2 linked regions of the Saccharomyces cerevisiae S288C genome follow. The protein of the gene in region 1 purifies or fractionates together with the protein of each later gene. This does not show direct contact. Each region holds a gene or a part of one and is shown in the gene's direction. Other genes may lie near its edges.

The links. Proteins that work in one complex are often made in the same cells at the same time.
Region 2: the proteins of LAS1 (region 1) and RAT1 purify together in Saccharomyces cerevisiae (affinity purification with mass spectrometry; 4 studies listed by BioGRID, with this or other methods). This does not show direct contact.

What each region holds. Positions count from the first base shown.
Region 1 is NC_001143.9:559,561-564,935, reverse strand, and holds LAS1 (rRNA-processing protein LAS1), read left to right. Parts: upstream 1-2,638; coding exon 2,639-4,147; downstream 4,148-5,375. Other genes in the region: OAF3 (Oaf3p), read right to left, coding at 1-2,389; transcription factor TFIIE subunit TFA2, read right to left, coding at 4,284-5,270. UniProt on the Saccharomyces cerevisiae protein: Regulates cell surface growth, bud formation and morphogenesis. May act indirectly by regulating factor(s) involved in these processes.
Region 2 is NC_001147.6:418,130-423,214, reverse strand, and holds RAT1 (ssRNA exonuclease RAT1), read left to right. Parts: upstream 1-1,564; coding exon 1,565-4,585; downstream 4,586-5,085. Other genes in the region: phospholipid-translocating ATPase RSB1, read left to right, coding at 1-547. UniProt on the Saccharomyces cerevisiae protein: Possesses 5'->3' exoribonuclease activity. Required for the processing of nuclear mRNA, rRNA and small nucleolar RNA (snoRNA) precursors.

The sequences.
Region 1 (5,375 bases):
CATAAAAGGATGAAAAAATATTAAACCTGTCGGAATATTTCTCCATATCCAAGAATTCTTGCATTTCCTTTATGCGCATTTGAAACTTAAATCCTGTCATATCATCGTTGTATTTACCTATGGGATAAAACTCATTGTTCCATATACTTAGAATATCTGGCCTATACCCATCATATTTTTGTACTGTCTCCTGAAATTCTAGTATTATTGGACAGATGTCATTTAATCTCATATCGTTGTAATCTATATAACTATCACCGTTATCTTCTAGTTTCAATTCATTCAGCAAAAATTTTAAAATAATTCTCCATGCATCTTTTTCACATGAGCGATTCAAGATCTTGTAGGCAATTTTAGCGGTGAACATTTTTCTAAAACAACGATAGTACTCAAAGCCAAATTCGTTAAAATACACAGACGAGACCCCGTAAAGAAATTCTATCATTTTCTTCTTGTCGGCGTACTGAATTGTTTTGAAGCGGTCTCCTCTGAGAATGAATGCCGGAACAATGACCAAAACTTTGTTTGCGACAATTTCCACGATTCTATTGGTATAAAACTTTGTCAATGAATCCACCTCTAAGGCATCACTGTTAAAAAAGTAATTGTAGCACTTCTCTGAGATATGAATGACCATATCCCACAAATCTTGGAAACTCTTATAAAATTTTGTAATATTGCAGTCATATTCATAAAAGATCATTTCTCCGTGCAGCAAACTTAGTGAGAATAAATCTATTATCCATTCCATTTCGAAATCAAAATGACGCATTGTTTCTTTTTCGTTTTTCGACAGGCTTTTTAAAATATGAAAGTTTCTTTTTAAATCATTTATTAGTCGGTGCAACAAGTTCAAATCTACCTTTCCTGGATCATCGTTCAACGTATCGTTTATCTTTTTCATCAAGTTATCCAGGGTTAACATTCGTATATACCATGTGGGTGTATCTGCTTCTTCTTTGAAATGGCACTGCAAGGTTTTCCCAATTTGACATTCTTCACCGCTAATAAAACACATCTTCCTGTCCCAAAATAAAACATAACTCCATATCTTTCTGAAAACTGAAATGTAATCGCTAGGTTTCATTATATCGTATGAAGGCCTCGTATGTCGGTTTATTTTAAATGAATATTTTTCTGGATGAGAGAAGCAATACCAGTTAATGCCCATTTCTTTACATGATGATATTATTGTCCCCATTAAGATTTGACAATATTGAGTTTCGGGTCCATCGCCATCTTCAGGGGCACACCAGTGCAAGAACCTTAGTAATATGAGACATTGCAACTGTAATAAATTACATTTTCTGAGGACCTTCGTCTCGAACAAATAGTGTTTAACAAGAGCCAAAAACTTAGAGGTATCAATTTCTTGAAGAACCGGGTATATATATGGAGTTAGCTTCGAAAACTGGACAGAAAGTCGGCATATTTTAATAATCAACAAGATTATGCAGAAAACCATATGATCGTAGTGTTTTATAGAAATTGGATTCCCTTTCTCGACTATATTTTGATAAAATATCGTTATTTCATGACGCAAAACTTTCATATCGAAAATCGGTATCATATTGTAAATTTTTTCTTCAAAAAGTGCTAAAACCTCACTTTCAAGTATTTTTAAAGGAGGCAAATAATCCTTTGCTAATATAGTTTCTGAGCTGAATTTTTTAGCATTATTTTCTCTGTATTGAGCGAATTTGTTAAACAATGATTTGTGAATAGTCTGATGCATGCGGAAGTTATTGCCCTTACCAACAACATCATCGCTAATGTGGCGTTCGTCATCAGCATCGAAAGTGGATAAAGCTTCGAAAGATTTAGGCAAGCTTCCATTTTTCACATTATTGCCGTTGCTTCCCAATTTATCCATCATTTTTTTGATTGCGATACTTCTAAATGTTACCATTGCTTGGAGATAGGGGTCGCGATTTTCAATTGCTCTATCCGTGAACAGACCAAATAAATTATCAGCAGACCTTTTGGTCTCTAAATAAAACCCATTAGGGATGAGGTCAATAAAAAATGGAGTTTCTTCATGAATTGGTAGATAATAAAGTGATGATTGATTTTCAAGTTCTCGTACTCTTTGCCAGTGATCTTCGTCTTGTCTTGTCTGTGACGATCTTCTTTTCTTAATGAAACCTGGACTTATTCGTTCCGCAGGAGTTGATTGTTTCCTCAGAGGGTCAGCATCATTCAATGAAGGACTGCTTTCAGGTTGTCCAGAGCTATCGGTGAGATAGACACAGCTGTCCACATCTCCCAGTCGTACACATGTTCCACATGGTTTCGTTCGATCGCACTTACTTTTCCTTTTTTTGCAATTTGTGCATACTACAGTAATTCGATGTCGTTTTTTTGTCCTAACTTGGGAGTCATATCCCATTATGAGATCAGTTGTCAACTAAAGTCTGGTATCAATTGGTTTCTAGTTTCTTTCTTCTCTTCATAGACTCATAACACTGCAAAATCGCAACAATAAATTCATGACTTATTGTTATGCAAAAAATTACCCGAATGTGAAAGATTAATAAGCTCATCGCAGTCGCAGAAAGAGTGAAAAAAATACCTAAGAATGCCTAAATTAGCTTAAACAAAAGTCATTTCTAGAAAGCAATGAAAAAAGGGCAATCTAATGATACCACCACGAATCGTTCCATGGAGGGATTTTGCTGAACTAGAGGAGCTGAAACTTTGGTTTTACCCGAAAAGCAAAGGAACCATTGAAGATAAGCGACAGCGTGCAGTGCAAAGAGTACAGAGCTACCGACTAAAGGGTTCCCAATATTTACCTCACGTGGTGGACTCTACAGCACAAATAACATGTGCGGTATTGCTAGACGAAAAGGAAGCGTGTTTAGGAGTACATCAGGATTCTATTCCTATCCGGTTATCGTATGTAATGGCTTTGATTCGGTTTGTCAATGGCTTATTGGATCCAACGCAACAATCTCAGTTCGCTATTCCCTTACACACATTAGCTGCTAAAATTGGACTGCCGTCCTGGTTTGTTGATTTGAGACACTGGGGTACACATGAGAGAGATTTACCTGGATTAGAAATGCTTCGTTGGGCCGCCAATGAAGCGTTATCTTGGCTATATGATCACTACTGGAACGATGAGGAATTAGAAGATGACAGGGATGATGATGACGATGATGATGATACCGGTTACGGATACAGAAGAAATGATAAACTGGAGAAATATATGGAGTCATTAACTAAAACACTTGATAAATGGAAGCGACTTAGAAACGAGTTTCTGGAATACAAATGGGTGTGGGAGAATGCAAACGATAGTTTAATTACAAGTAGTAACTTTTCTGGGGATAATTTGGTGAACTATGATGCCGAAAAGAGGAAAAGTTCACACGCAAGTTCATCAGAAACTATGATCAGGGAAAATTTGCGTCAATGGCAAGAACTTTGGAAATTATCCATTTATCACAATGTGGTTCTTGAGAAATTTTTTAACAATTATGACCCACTTTTACTCAAAGTTTTAATGCTTAATTTGAACAATTTTGATTGGAAGGTCATTGAGTGGGTAGCTAGGAATTACAGAACCCAACAAGATGATAGTAATATAACGACAATTTTAAAAAGGAAATTCAATGCCTGGAAAGAACTACAAAAAAGGCTGTTAGATGTTATTATAAATAACCTTAACAATAAAAATTTTAAAAATAAATGGCAAAATTGGGAGAAACTTATTGATGAAAATGCGTCATACTTGATATTGTATTTTTGCCAATCTATGCTGGCCAAACTAGAGACTGAAAAAATTACTGGTAACTCATGGAGAAACAAAAAACGGAGAAAACAAATTGATAGCACAGTGGAAATCGAGGCAAAACTGAAGGAAAACATAGACAATTTATCATTAAGGTTTAATGAAGGTGAAATAAAGCTGTATGATTTTATTCCTGCGGAAAAAGATTCCGTTCCATTGAAGAAGGAAGTGAGTCCGGCATTAAAGGCTGATACCAATGATATACTAGGCGATTTGGCGTCTTTGAAACAGAGAATGAGCAGTTTCGGAACAGTAGGTAAAAAAAATAAACAAGAGGAGAACAGAGCTACACCAGTAAAAAATTGGTCAAGGGTTCAAAATTGGAAACCCAAACCCTTTGGTGTCCTGTAACCTGTTTCCAATGCTCGTTATAAATACGTTGTAGACTATAAAGCTGAGTTGTATGCTGCACCCTAACGTGCATGTATATATAATCACAGTCTCTTTAACCTAATATGCAAACGAAAATGATTTAATCAAAACAACCTCATACTCTATGGGAATAATCTTTCAAGATACCGGTCATATGAGTGTTAGTAATCTTACCCTTTCTTTGTCTCTTCTTTTTAACTTCAACTCTCTTTGTTTGTCTTTTGATAGTAGCAGGATCGACACTAGCAGGCTTTAGACCTAAATCTTGCAGCTTTCTTGGCAATTCTGCAAATTGCGGTAATTGCACATTTTCCCACATTTTAACAAACTCCTCGTCAATACATTTCAAGTTACCACCGCTGTTATACCAAACGTATCTTGGAGTTTTATCCTTTTTAGTTCTTAACACCAAAATTTTGCTGTCTTCCTCCAGTTGGTTAATCGTTTCATCGCATTGTGGCCAACCGTCTTTCAAGTCTTTGCAGGAAATACCTTTGAATGTTACTTGTGAACGTAACAACTTCAGCAGTTCCGAAGGGGAATGGACATCGTAGGTGGAAAGGTATTTGAAAGTCCCCTTCTTGGGGTCAAACTCTATTCTATCTAATTTTTTTAAAAGCTCAATAACCTTGTCATCTTTTTTCATTGACAAGTAGTCCAATAACTCATTCACCAAAACGGGCTTACCTTTCTTTTGAATGTATTCAGTCGCCCAAAGCAACTTTGAAGAATCGTGACTCTTGGAAATATCTGTTTGATTTGCTTGTAAAGCGGCTGCAGCAATAGAGCCAGGCCTTACTTTTTTTGAAGGAGAGCTACCAAAATCTTCGTCGTCATCGTCGTCATCTAATGAAATAGCATTAGAGCTATTGCTCCCAGCTTCTTTCTTGATATCCACTAACACAGGATTTTTCGCAGAGTTCAAAGTGTTTTCTTGCGCACGTTCGGAGGCCGTCCTCTTCCTAGTGTTTCCATCTATAGTAATCACTGTGTCATTGGTCTTCTTCTGTCCAACTTTAGCGGGTGCGATCACCGGGGCAGACTTCACTTTGCTTTTGAAAGCGTTCAAATTAGCCAGTAGAGGGTCCCTGTTTTTACTCATCGCAAAAGACTACTCTCTTTTCCAAATCGAACGAACTACTTGGTATAAAACAGTTCTGTGTAACAGCTTTCTCGTGTTCTACAGAGCACACGGTTATGTAACTAG
Region 2 (5,085 bases), on another chromosome or scaffold:
GGTAAGATGGGAACACATAAATTCTAGACCTATCTCATTGAGCCTCTTAAAGATATCGCAAACAGAAGTTGATTATTTATACAGGGAAAAGTTCCATTTTTTGAGACTCGAACCTAAACGTTGGGTTTTTCATTATTTTAATCTGGCAATAACCGTTGCGGTACTAACCATTTTTACCCGTTGTTGTTACCGTTTGGCTGAATTAGTTGTCGGTTGGGATGGCTATCTGATCACACACGAGTGGTATTTTATTATCTTAGATGCATTAATGATGGCCATCGCTACGGTCACTTTGACCATCTTCCACCCTGGATTTGCGTTTAAAGGTAGAAGCACCTCGATTCCAATCACACCGGGCCATGTTGATCCTGAAACTTTACCACATACTGACGATGTTGAAGATATCTTAGATACTTCGGATTCAAAACAATTTGATATTGAAAAGGAGGAATTCCAAGCAAGCATGAAATACCCGATTAGCACCTTCAAACAATTCATGTCCAAAATAGCTAACTTGTTTTCCTCTAAAAAGAAGGCTAAACTTTAGTGATACGTAGAATTTGAATGTCAATCTGATCGTTCATATGCATTTTTCAATTCTTACTTTTTTTCTCGAAGTTCCCGACTATGTTCTGTTTATTTTTTCTCCTATTCAAAAGAACCGGACAGCATTTTTACTTCCTTATATTTCGACATCGTAATATGTACATTTTTTAGTTCACAAGTATTTTTCCCCTTTCAATGCTTTAATCAGCCTTCAACGTCATACATACTTTCTATTTTGTTCCTGTGCCATCGTATAACTTTCCTCGTTTAGTGTTTTCGCCTCAGCTTAATGTAGATCACTGTTTTGACGTTCTTCCATTTTTGGGAACGAACTAAACTAAAAAAAAGAAAACTACAGAGTTTCCCATAGAGAACAGAAAATCCGCTATCGGCAGCTTATAGGGTCATATAATTATGGCGCACATAAGGAAAATAAATTTATTTGAATCAATCAACAGACCTATCTGTTGATATATGAAAGAGAGCAGGAGCGTTAGTTTACCTCCATAAACAGTAAAATTAAAGCAAAAAAGCGTAACTGCTGATTGAAGCCTATATCACCGGGCTAAAATCTTATATCGGTTAAGAAAGTGATTAATTTATAGATATGTTCACGAAATCTTTTCTATTCAAAGATTCACGAATTTTACTCGATTTTTATAGTATACTGAAACAAGTAGTTGTAAAATCAATTCACCAAAAAAGCTTTCCCCATCTCTGATGAAAAACTACGAAAAGTTTACTATCACATAATATCGGAAGTACGTTTTTAAGGCACTGCAATGTATTTTATAATCTTGAACATTTGGAGGTATATTACCTTACTTTCTCATCAGGTTGTATATTTGAGCGTCTCGGGAATGATAAGTCGGGTAACGAGAGTATCTAGATAAGATTTTCAGCTATGGCAATAAAAAACCAAACCTCATCGATGAACCTATTACAACATAAAGACATCCCGTAATAATTAGTGAGACAGGTTCTTCAAGGAAGTGCTACAGCCAAGTTTCGTAATATAATGGGTGTTCCGTCATTTTTCAGATGGCTATCTCGAAAATATCCAAAGATCATATCCCCAGTATTGGAAGAGCAACCTCAGATAGTCGACGGTGTCATATTGCCGTTGGATTATTCCGCCTCAAATCCAAACGGTGAGTTAGACAACTTGTATTTGGATATGAATGGTATTGTTCATCCATGTTCGCACCCAGAAAACAAACCGCCTCCAGAGACTGAAGATGAAATGCTTTTGGCAGTTTTTGAATATACCAATCGTGTGTTAAATATGGCTAGACCACGCAAGGTACTTGTTATGGCTGTTGATGGTGTTGCTCCTCGTGCCAAAATGAACCAGCAGAGAGCGCGTAGATTTAGGAGTGCTAGGGATGCTCAGATTGAAAACGAAGCCAGGGAAGAAATTATGAGACAGCGAGAAGAAGTTGGTGAGATAATCGATGATGCCGTCAGGAACAAGAAAACTTGGGATTCAAATGCGATCACTCCAGGCACCCCATTTATGGATAAGCTTGCCGCGGCCCTCCGTTATTGGACAGCATTTAAACTGGCCACTGACCCTGGTTGGAAAAACCTGCAGGTGATTATCAGTGACGCCACCGTCCCAGGTGAAGGTGAGCACAAAATAATGAATTTCATTAGGTCTCAAAGAGCTGATCCTGAATATAATCCCAACACAACGCACTGTATATACGGTTTGGATGCTGATTTAATTTTTTTGGGCCTTGCCACTCATGAACCACATTTTAAAATTCTAAGAGAAGATGTTTTTGCTCAAGACAATCGGAAAAGAAATAACTTAAAAGATACTATAAATATGACTGAAGAAGAAAAACAATTTCTCCAAAAACAAAATTCCGAACAACCTTTCTTGTGGCTGCACATAAATGTTTTGAGGGAATACTTGTCCGCTGAGTTATGGGTTCCGGGTCTTCCATTTACATTTGATTTAGAAAGGGCTATCGACGATTGGGTTTTCATGTGCTTTTTCTGTGGTAATGACTTTTTACCACATTTACCATGCTTAGATGTCAGAGAAAATAGTATTGATATTCTCTTGGATATTTGGAAGGTAGTACTACCGAAATTGAAAACGTACATGACCTGCGACGGTGTCTTGAACCTCCCTTCTGTTGAAACGCTATTGCAACACCTTGGCTCCCGTGAGGGGGATATCTTCAAAACTAGACATATTCAAGAAGCCAGAAAGAAAGAAGCTTTTGAAAGAAGGAAAGCGCAGAAAAATATGTCAAAAGGTCAAGACAGGCATCCTACAGTAGCTACGGAGCAACTGCAAATGTATGACACACAAGGAAATTTAGCAAAAGGTTCATGGAACTTGACCACCAGTGATATGGTAAGGTTGAAAAAGGAACTGATGCTTGCGAACGAGGGGAACGAAGAAGCAATCGCCAAAGTTAAGCAACAGAGTGATAAGAACAATGAACTGATGAAAGATATCAGCAAGGAAGAAATTGATGATGCTGTTAGTAAGGCTAACAAAACTAATTTTAACCTTGCAGAAGTTATGAAACAGAAAATAATAAATAAGAAACACCGTCTTGAAAAGGATAATGAAGAGGAAGAAATTGCTAAGGATAGCAAAAAAGTTAAGACAGAGAAAGCGGAATCAGAGTGCGATCTCGATGCAGAGATCAAAGATGAGATTGTGGCTGACGTAAACGACAGGGAAAACTCTGAAACTACAGAAGTATCAAGAGATTCACCAGTCCACAGCACAGTGAATGTCAGCGAAGGTCCCAAAAATGGGGTCTTTGATACAGATGAATTTGTCAAACTATTCGAACCTGGTTACCACGAAAGATATTACACAGCTAAATTTCACGTTACTCCTCAAGATATTGAACAGTTAAGAAAAGATATGGTAAAATGCTATATCGAAGGGGTCGCCTGGGTACTAATGTATTACTATCAAGGTTGTGCCTCTTGGAATTGGTTCTATCCGTACCATTATGCTCCTCTGGCAACAGATTTCCATGGGTTTTCTCACTTGGAGATAAAGTTCGAAGAAGGTACTCCATTTTTACCTTACGAACAATTGATGAGTGTTTTACCAGCTGCATCTGGCCATGCTTTGCCAAAAATTTTCCGGTCTTTGATGTCTGAACCTGACTCTGAAATCATTGATTTTTATCCTGAAGAATTTCCCATAGATATGAATGGTAAGAAGATGTCCTGGCAAGGCATAGCGTTGCTACCATTCATCGATCAGGATAGACTGTTAACAGCTGTTCGTGCACAATATCCTTTACTTTCTGATGCTGAGAGGGCAAGAAATATTCGCGGAGAACCTGTTTTATTAATAAGTAACAAGAATGCTAATTATGAGAGGTTTTCGAAGAAATTATACTCAAAGGAAAACAACAACAACAATGTTGTTGTGAAGTTTCAACACTTCAAGAGTGGTTTAAGTGGTATTGTATCAAAGGACGTTGAAGGTTTCGAATTAAATGGGAAAATTGTATGTCCGATTCAAGGTGGGTCACTGCCAAATTTATCTACCACCTTGATTTTAAAGATGTCCTATAGATTAATTCCGTTGCCATCGAGAAATAAGTCTATTATACTGAACGGGTTCATTCCGTCAGAACCGGTACTAACAGCATATGACCTTGATTCCATAATGTACAAGTATAATAACCAAAATTACTCCCGTCGCTGGAACTTTGGTAATGATTTGAAGCAAAATATTGTTCCAGTAGGACCAAAGGGTATTACTCAGTACAAACCAAGAACTGGTGGCTATCGAGCATTCTTTTATTTTGCTGAGCTCAGTAGAAATAATGTCCAACCCGCCCACAACTATGGTAGGAATAGCTACAACAGTCAACCCGGCTTCAACAATAGCAGGTATGATGGTGGAAACAATAATTACAGACAAAATTCAAATTACAGGAACAATAACTATTCCGGAAATAGAAATAGTGGACAGTACAGCGGCAACAGCTACTCTCGGAATAACAAGCAAAGTCGGTATGACAATTCAAGAGCAAATAGGCGTTAGAACTACTCGTGCGCATTTTATTTTATGGTAAATTTAGGTTTTCGCAAATTTATAAAATCTTCATACAATTAAAAAAAAGCTCTTTTAAGATAATAGTGTCTGCTCTTACAAACGACGAACAGTAATATTTTATAACAAAAAATGGAACATATTAAGTTAAGAGAAAATCATGCTGAAGCATGAATATATGAATATACGTCCTCTTGTAAAATAGCGAAATCCTTGTAAGCCAATAGACCGAACTCTATTTTGATTTATACGCTTCGTGTATTTTTTCTTCCAGATCCAGGAGAAAAAGCATGGTCTGTTCTTCTTTTTTGAAAAGAGAGGCAGTCCACGGCGAAAGTTTCGAATACGGCACTACCTTTTTTTTCTAAGTTCCTAAACTTAAAATCAAATTTGGTCTTTGGTCTGTTATCATCCAGGGATGAATGCAACATATTGGGAAGTTCATGCTATACAACGCCAACCCCTTCGCTCAAGTCACGAAAGCACATCTT